2 linked regions of the Drosophila melanogaster genome follow. The protein of the gene in region 2 purifies or fractionates together with the protein of the main gene of each other region. This does not show direct contact. Each region holds a gene or a part of one and is shown on either strand. Other genes may lie near its edges.

The links.
Region 1: the proteins of dpr13 (region 2) and cDIP purify together in Drosophila melanogaster (affinity purification with western blotting; 2 studies listed by BioGRID). This does not show direct contact.

The regions. Positions count from the first base shown.
Region 1 is NT_033777.3:21,158,511-21,162,978, forward strand, and holds cDIP (common Dpr-interacting protein), read right to left. Parts: upstream 2,583-4,468; 5' UTR 2,545-2,582; coding exon 880-2,544; 3' UTR 728-879; downstream 1-727.
Region 2 is NT_033778.4:18,004,819-18,010,015, reverse strand, and holds the start of dpr13 (defective proboscis extension response 13), read left to right. Parts: upstream 1-2,113; 5' UTR 2,114-2,867; coding exon 2,868-2,982; intron 2,983-4,020; exon of another isoform or gene 4,021-4,621; intron 4,622-5,197.

The sequences.
Region 1 (4,468 bases), on a different chromosome or scaffold from region 2:
GATCCGTGAAATTGGATTTGTTTCTACTTTCCGTCCTTACGAAGTGGCTGCACTGAAATCGAAACTGTTTGTTTATCTTAGCAATTAGTTAGCCATAAATGTGCGAGTAAGCGAATAGAAGGGATAAAGCATAAATAATTAAAACTGTTCGCATTAGCAGATGGCAATAAAATAACTCGGTTTCTGGTCCATTCGATCGAATTCAATATTGTTGTTTAGTTTCCGAAAATATTGGTTTTGTAATTGACTTGACTTTGTTCAATTCAACTCAAGTTCCCCGAGCCCCACCATCTTGTCTTCGCCCTCCAGTTTTCTTCTCGTTTTTCCATTTTGGTTCGCCAGCCCGAGTTGAACGAACCTCTTTCAATATCTTTCAGAAAAAGAACCCAACTTTGCTTTGCTCGAAAATCAATATTATTGTTTAAATATTATTCTACGTATACGACACAGCGAGCAATAAATATTTACTAGATGTGCTCATGTTGCAAATTGTATTGGTTTTTTGGGGTTGAGTATGCAAAATCAGCAGGGAAATGGAGCAGAAATTGTTTTCGAGATTAGGAATTGAATAGGCGTAGAAAAAAATGATATTCTAGGAAACTAAATCTTAAACAAAGACGAAAAGCCTTCCTGTTTTGTTAGATTATGGTTCCAACTTTGTATATTATCAAGAACTGGTAAAAAAAACATACACGCGAATTCTTTAGTGGAATTCTTCCAACAATTTAAAAAATGATTTATTTATTGGATCGAAAGATTTTATGTTTAAAATTAAGAAGCTTTAGGAAATACTTCAAATATTAATTATAATGTATACATATAATTGTAAAGCTTTGAAAATGTAGTGATCACATAAAAAATGGGCCATATTTAACAACTTCAAACGGACAAGGTCACTTGACTCCAAACAGTTTTGTTGAGCACTTCAAAGGCCTGAATTTGTTCATTCAATTGGGCCAGTTTACTGAATATCAAATCGAACTTGGAATCAAAGTGCTGCACCACTGCTTTCAGTTCATCGCGCAGTTTGTCCACCTCGCTGGGATCAGAACTACTTGTTATGGGCGAGGACTCTACGCTGGCGGAGATTTCCGAAGAGGAGGAGGAGTCCACACCCTCTTTTTCGGGCAAGCGATACATGCAGGCTATTCCGTGAAAGTATTCCCCCGGAAAATCGGGATCGTAGTTATCCACGGTATAGGCAATGCCATTGGCACGAATGAGCACATCCATTATGTTTCTCAGGCTGAAGCAGTTCCAGTTATTTCCATGAATATAGAAGTGCGTTAGTTGCGTGAGCGTGGGGAACGCGGATGGATCGATTTCCGTCAAATTATTGCCGGATATGTCAAGTTTCTGCAAATTTTGCATACCCTGCAACGCCTCCAGCGGCAGTTCCATCTGGCCCGTATTCCGCAGCACCAGCATCTCCAGATGTGGCGTCCGCCAACCGTCGGGCAACTGACCCAGGTTCGGATTGTCCGCCACATCCAGGTGCCGGAGTCTGGGCACGCGGCTCAACGACGCCAGCTGAACCAGCGAGTTGTTGCGCAGCACCAAATGCTCCAGTGCCTCGGAGGCGGGAAAGTACAGCTCGCGCACGCGATTGTCGCTCAGATCGACATTCGTCACCGATCCGTACAAATTGACACGGTCCAGCGAGCAATTGCGAGCGGTCAAATTGGTGGCGTTAATGTTCAGCAGTAGAACGACCAGCTCGGGGTTATTCGATAGATCCACATACTGCATCTGATGGTGTCGTCCGCGGGATCGAAAGGCATACTCGCCCACCTCTCGCAGTCGATTGTTCTGCATTGCGACCGACAAAAGGTCCGGATTGTGGGCAAATAAATCGCTCTCAATGGTGGTCAGTTGATTACCGGCCAGTCCCACGTGCCGCAGACTCTTCAGTCCGGCAAATACGTCCGCGGCTAAAGCCTCCAGGCGATTCTCTGTGAGATCCAGGTACTGTAATTTCAGGAGATTATCAAACGCACCCGCCTGCAGTTTGCCTAGTTTGTTGCGATTCAGGAAGATAAACTCCAAGTTTCCTGCTCCCCTGAAGGTTTTCGTGGGCAGCACTTCGATGTGATTATCGCTGAGCAGAAGAATCACCAGCTTATCCGCACCAATGGAGAAGTTCTCCCAGTAAATGAAGCGGATGCCACAGCCGCGCATGTCCAGCTCACTGACCTCTAGTGTGTAAAATAAGCGCAGGGGAAAATTGGTGAAGGTGCAGTTCTCGAAGATCAGGGTTCGCGAGTGCTCCTCATCGCCCACTTCGTAGGTGGTGCCATCCTCGGCAATCCGCACCTCCGTTGGCAGATCAAAGGTGGCCTTCTCGTCCTCTCCCGCAAACTCAAAGCCCCTGCAGCTGGTCACCTTGCCCTCCGTCTGGCAATGACCTTCCAAGCTGGAGACCAGCACTATTCGGGATGAGCCACTATCCACATCAGCATCCGCGTCCTCATCCGTAGTAGCTGTGGCCGCCAATGAGATCAGCAAATAGCTGCAGAGGAACGGCAGACAATTCCGGACGTACATTTGGCGTGCTCCACGATTCACGTTCGACCTGAAACTGATTCCAAACGTTGACCGCCAAACGCCTGGCCAGATAAGCTCCTCTATAATGCTCAAATAACGATCATCAGTTCTATATAATTGCCATCCCATTCTATTCATGGTGTTCTGATTTTGCGAAAATAAATATGGTTCATCTGTGGCGGGTACAGCGCATTTCGAAAATGTAAGGCAGGGTTTTTTTCTTTTTTTTGAAATCGGATTGAAATACTATTTCTATTTCGAAGAATTGAGATGCTTTGGAAATCACTGCTGACTAATTAATAGATTTAATTACAATTATTTGTCTGGGAACTCCTTTTAAAAGAAATTAACATCTTTTGCTGTACGAGAGAGATGAAAATCGGTTTGTTTTTTTTTGTACCTATCATTATTTTGACACTTGTCTGTGCTGCTTTTCCGTTTATTATTCATGATTTTTTGCTGCTCTATGGAAGTTCTCGCTCTGTTGGCTCCATTCAAAACTCACAGACTTTGAAAAAAAAAACAAAACTTTGTACAATATCTGTGGAGCAATTCCCACTCATTTCCAGTGTGTTCTCTTATCATGAAGTGTTTACTTAGCGATTTGCTGAACAAAAGGTGGAAATCTCTTTTGGCTGCTGATAGTGGACATGAGGCCAGACATTCGCCCATTTTTATGTAAGAGTATTTTCATTGGGGCCCATCCATCTTTGGCTTTTACCATCGAAAATATAGGCGCGTGGAAACGTTGCTTAAAATACCTTCTATATAATTTACACAACAGCCATTTAGCATTTTGTTGGCACTGCCTTGCGTTGTGTAGTTTTGCTGATGATTGCCCGAATGACTCATTATTTATCAGGCGAACAATTCAGTGGAGGGCATTTGAGTTTCGGTTTGATAAGAGCAAACGAACTTCCGTTAACTACTTTGTCGTCTGCATTTATTCCTAGTCTTATTTTTAAAGCAATCAGGCAAGAATGTAGGCACCTTTACACGAAAAACATTCGTAAATATAGCGAAACCAGAACTTTCGCCTGCGAAGCGGTGACATGTCCAGTGGAAAAATGTGTAAAATATTTAGCCAATTATTTAGCCAACATGCCAGCGGTTTTGAGAACACGTTCAACCTGCTTTCTCAGTCGTTCAATTTGCCAGTTGCAGCTTAGCGGGCGAAAACAAAAAGATTATGACAGGTAGAGCCTTATTAATTTGTATGCAAACAAATTTATACGCTTGTTGAAATGTTAAAAATTAATTTTCCATTCGTTTGCGTTGGGATTTTCTCGGCTTTGGCCGCCTGGGCAAACAAACAATTTGAATATCGATGGCTAATTTTTTTCACTTTATGTATTCACAATTGATCTGCCTGTTTGCATTGGGCTTATTATGAGCCAATGGCTTTTAAATTACTCGACTCAAGACGACTTTTGTTCTTTGCATGGCATTTGCCATAGCTGTATCTGTATCTATTGTAGCTGTGTATTGTATCTCAATTGAAACGGCATGACTTCGTTTAGCGTCTTTTTTTCACTTTTTCGCCTGTGCCCCCTTTGTTGAATTCAATTTGCCGCAATTACTTTGCATACAAGTTTCGAGAAATAAAAAAAAAAAAACAAAGAGTGAAAATTACCAGGCTTTTATTCTGTCGAGACTTTGTCCCCGCCGTCTGTACTTTATTCAAATCAAATTCGCCCAATAGTTTAGCAGTGTAAACAAATGCGATATAGAAATATATTAAATCAGAACATATAGCGCACCATTTTACGCCTCTATTGTGGGTGCTTTTATATGGCGCCGTCGGTTTATGGCACTTGATTTATTTCATTGGGTTTATTGGTCATTCGAACGCTAAATGCTCAGGATATCCAAAGGTTGTTCCACCCATCTGACTGCAATGATGACGCAACTAGATGGTGATATA
Region 2 (5,197 bases):
GTGTGTGTGAGCGTATGTGTGTGTGTGTGTTTGTCTTTGTCTATGGCAGCTTACCTAATTACATTCCGGAAATAAAACGTTGACTGATTGTGCCAATAAATGAAAATAATGACGCACCATTGACTGCAAACTGGAACCGACGAACGGGCAAACTCTGGTCGAACTTTTTCCCTAAGTTTGCGTAGAGACCCCCCAACGAAAAAAAGGACACGAGAAGGAAACTTCTTGCCCGTCTGGACTTCTTTCCCTGCCGACTTTCTTCTGCCTTTCACCACAGCCTTTTTTGCCTGTCCTGACGAGTTTATTTGCTTGAGCAGCGTTAACTGATTGTCTGTGATTTTCTTGTTTTTAGATAATGAAAGCTGCAGCAATCTGCGGCTGCGGGTACATAAAATAAAAGCAAGGCACCCAGCAAGTGTAACTTTTTATGTGCTCAGGCAACAGAAATCGCCGGCCATTTATACGGATACTGGGATACTGGGATACTAGGAAACTGGGCGGCCAGGGAGATTGAGTGTGGGTCAGTGTGCCAGATATCGAGTGGAACGGGGAAGGGCAGGGGAATTAACATACACGACTAGATGTTTGCGGGTCAGGTTTTCATTGCCTGATATATGGTTATGATTTTCCAACGGCAATTTGGCCAGAAGCTGCGACTATTTGTCTTCTTGGGTATTAAATTTGGATGGGCAGCAGAACATCGAACTCATTAAGTGAAATATTAGAGAGGCGTTCGATTTTAATTATTCAAAAGATCGCAAAGAGCTATGTGAAAGGAATTTAATGCATGAAAATTATTTAAAATAAAAATGAACGAGATCTGTATTCTTATTAAACAGTGGTCCATTGCATTTGACTTGACTAATATATCTGAAGCATGAAACTCAGGAATTTAATCTGCAAGACACTTTCCCGCGTTTTAGCTCAGCATTTCCCCGGTTTTCCTTGTTAGCCAAAGAATTCAAGCGGAATGTGACATTGCAGCTGGGCAGATGGCGCCTTCGACGCGAAAATGCTTTCACAGCCTGACAAGGTCTAAAGCGTGTTAGCCATTTATTAGTTCGGATTTCTGGCTAGCCCCAAAGTATGCAACCGACTTCTGCGAGCCCAAACGTGGCCAAAAAAAAAAAACCATGAGCTGGCTGAAATGGAAAGTTAAGTTCGCCCAGCTGAGGGCCCACAACTTGGTACCAACTAATTTCAGCACAATAACCCAAATTGAAGCGGTTTGCTGATGCTTTGTTTGCACCCGATTAGAGCCGAGACGCGTGACGAAGGTGCTTTCGTCACTCGGCGAAATGGCTGCACAAAATGAGAGAGCGATGAAAGCAGGAAGGAGAGAGAGAGTCCAACTATGCGCACAAACAACAAGGAGAAAGATAGAGAGAGGACCGGAAGTAGTGAGTTTGCGATAAATGTTTGCTATAAAAATCGTACCAGCTGTTCACTGAAGATTGACAATCCTAGAAGCTGTTTGAAAACAAATTAAAATTTCAATATATGCACTAAAAAAATTTAGTTTTTTTTGGCATAAAAAAATTTAGTGTCGGTATATGTAAAACTGTTAAGTTGAGCCTTGTTTAGGCAAATTAAGGATACCTAAAAGTTGAATGTGTTGTTAGCCCTAAATCATCTAATCATACACAATTAAATGAAATGGTAATCAAAAATATGGCAAGGATTTAAACCAAATTTAATGATATATGAAACATAATAACCTTTTAGCTTTTACCTCTTTTCTTTAAGTTGATATAATAAGGTTAGCTGCATTAGTTGCAATGTAATATATGTGTTAATAGAACAAGTGCTTAATAACAAAAAAAAAAAACTATAGTATTGATTGCCTTAAACGGAATAGTTGATATAAATTGAAAGGACTGGGTTTCGGTTTCAAAGGACCAATTAAGCAAACATTTCACGCGAACGCAAGATGCTATAAAACTTGAGAGTTTCCCCAAAAGGAAAATGAGAGAGGCAAGTCGAGAGAGAAAGAGAGAGCCAAGCGCACGAAGTTCGTGCAGACTTTTCCGCTGCTGCTGCTGCTGCTGCTGCCACTGCCACTGGTGATGGTGTTGCTACTGGTGTTGCCTGCTTTTCCTTGGGTCCTCGTGTCAGTCGCGTGCGAAAGCGTAAAGTAAACAGACAGGCGGCTAAAGCGGCAGAAGGAAAAGCAGCGAAGCGCTGGAAAAGCAGGAAAAAGCAGCAGCCGTGCAACCGAGGGCCAAACAACAACACCAGCGGCTGGCAGGCGAATTCCCACGCTGCTGCTCAGTCAGTTGAACTTTGACCACGGCGGTAACGGGTTCGGTGCGGTGCAGTGTAGTTTCGGTGCGGTCAACGCGGCGTATGCGCAACGTACATGCAACGTGAGCGCTTTTTTTGCGAAACTATAAATGATGAATTCCAAATGTGCTGGCATATGGCTGCCACGTGCCCCCAGCTAAAATGTGACTAAAGGATTACAAAAAAAAAAAAACGAGCAAGTCAAACAAAAAGCGAAAATGAAACAATGCAAAAAAACGCTTAATTAAAATATGGAAAGTTAATTGCAAATGGCGCTTAGCAATGTGGTCACATCAAATGGGCATAAATCAACGCAGAAAGTGCATTTAATTAGGCTTAATATAAAGAAAACATCAAATAACCGAAAAGTGTGGGCCTAAAAAAATAAACAACAATTAGAGCAGGGGAAAAAACGTTTTAATTAATGCAATGTCATCCAATTGAAATGCAAGTGCAGTGACAAATGAAATCAAATTAAAGCTCTGATAAATTGAATCACAAATGCAAAACAATTGACAGCTACAACAACAAGCGGAAAATAAGTGCAACATCCTCAGCGACACACAGCAACACAAAGCAACAAAATGCCGGCATCAAGTGGATTATATCGCATCAAAAATGGCCGTGTCCTTGACAGGCTGCAAAAACCAGCGGCACTCATTTTTATAATAGCATATATTGCGGCATGCGGCATTTGCGGTAAATATCACACACAGACATTATGACTTTTCACTAAAACTAAAAATCAAATAAAATCCCACATAAAAGCGAGGCGTAGAAATTACAGAAAAATAATGACGCATTTAATACTTTTTCATTTATTTATGCCGTTGATTTTTCAATTTGCATTCCGCTTATTCTGTACTGTTCACCGAACACGATTTAATTCAATTAGCGTCGCTGTAATGCATGAAATATTGTCAAAAGACAAATTGGCGAAATATGAAATTAAATGTGGCAAATATCACGGACGAGCCGCAACAAAGGCCACGAGATTGCCCAAGTCGAGAAATCGTTAATTTGTAACATTTCATTGCCGATGTCGAGTGCAGTGACAGGTCAGGCGATGAGCGCGGAAATCACCTGTGCATCACCTGTCAATGGCTGACACCGCAACAACGGCAATCAGGGGATTCCCCTGCGCCAAACGGCAACAGCAACACTTGTCTCTACAACTGAGCTCACTGAAAGCTGCCCCCTGTCGCCATTTCTCTCCATCTCTTTCGCGCCCTGCATCGCTATCTCTCTCTCTCTCTCTCTCTCTGTGTCTGACTGACTGGCTGACTGGCAATTTGTCAAGCAATCAACAAAGCCAGAAATTGCCCGGCAATAAGACAGAGCGAAAGCGGCAGAACGCCAGTTTGTCCAATCGGGAAAATGTGAATGCGAATAAACCTATTGAACACGCCAAAAGTGGTATAGAATATGCACTGCGATAAAAATATGACACCAGGAACTATCATAATCATCTCTAGTTGCATTAGGTATATTATGTTTCTAAACTATGATTTTTATGCAGGTGTAATCCTTTTGACAATCTCTTTATTCCCTTTTCAAGCTTTACGCATTTTAAACAAAATATCTTTATGAATATTTAAAAATATACATATAATAAATAACATATAGTCAATCGTTATATATAATAATTTAAATTATATTTTTAATATGCAAAAGCTGACTATGTATTCTCAAGAACTATTAGTTCTTAACTTACTTAAATAGTTACAATATACAAAAAATGTGCCTCTTATAATGTTTATAAATTGCTAGTTTATTTGTAAATAATGTTTATTTCTCGAATGCTTGAACGCAACATAAAATTTGGTCTTCAATTTAAGCGATTTTTCTCGCAGTGATTGGTACTCGACTCCAAGGAATACCGATATGTGGAACTAGTACACTGCTTGTGCCACATTTTGTGCGTGCCCCGCGTCGATGGGGGGAGAGGGTGTCCGTAAAGTCGTTGCTAAATAACAACAACAATGGCATAAAAAAGTGCCACGTCTTCACACACATTTGCACGCGCACACACACAGTGGGGCCCTGGGGCAACGCACACACACCGCAGCAACTGCGAGTGCTACTGGCGACTATCTAGCGCATCCATTGTTGCATGCCACACACCAACACAGGCCTTTTGGGCCACACACTCCTGTCGCTGTCGTTGTCGTTGTCACTGTCAATGCTGTAATGAAAAATGCACAAACACAAAAACGAAATACGAAAAAAACAAACAGAATCCAAAACTGCAACTGAAAATAGAAATAAACAGAGGCCGAAATAAATATATTCAGAATGCACGCCAGCTTAGGGCGATGAGTAAAAAAAAATAAAATAGACAAGCAATTTCAGCTGCGCCTGCCGCTTTTTATTTGGACCGCATTAATATTTAGCCAGCCACATGAACGTGCCTAGATATACATTAAGGCTCATATAAATCAATATTTATGCCAGCGGTGCATGTCTGTGGATCGAGCCATGGGATTTTTGAAGGCCAGCGGGGTCGCAGCAAATGCATTACTAGTCGCTGCACCCAAATCCGCAGCTCAATGCATCCAAATATTTGCATAATGTAACCAAAAAATATAAAAAAAAAATATATTTCTCCACTGCACTGCAGGCTATATGCTAAGCAGGGCGACCATGTCACTTTGGGGGCCAAAAATGTGCAGCTACCCATTCCCCATTTGAATGTTTTGGTTGTGAACATCGATATAAACATGGAAAAGATCGAGCGTTGCTAAAAAGCAAAACGACCAAAATATATGTAAATACTCTGTACAAATATTCACTTATTCAATTATTCACAATGCTTAACAAGCGGTTTGTATGACATCCCGTGTTGGTCATCTAAATAAGGTGTATTGATTTTACTTAAATATCTTAATTCCGGATGTCAGACTTGATATTTCAT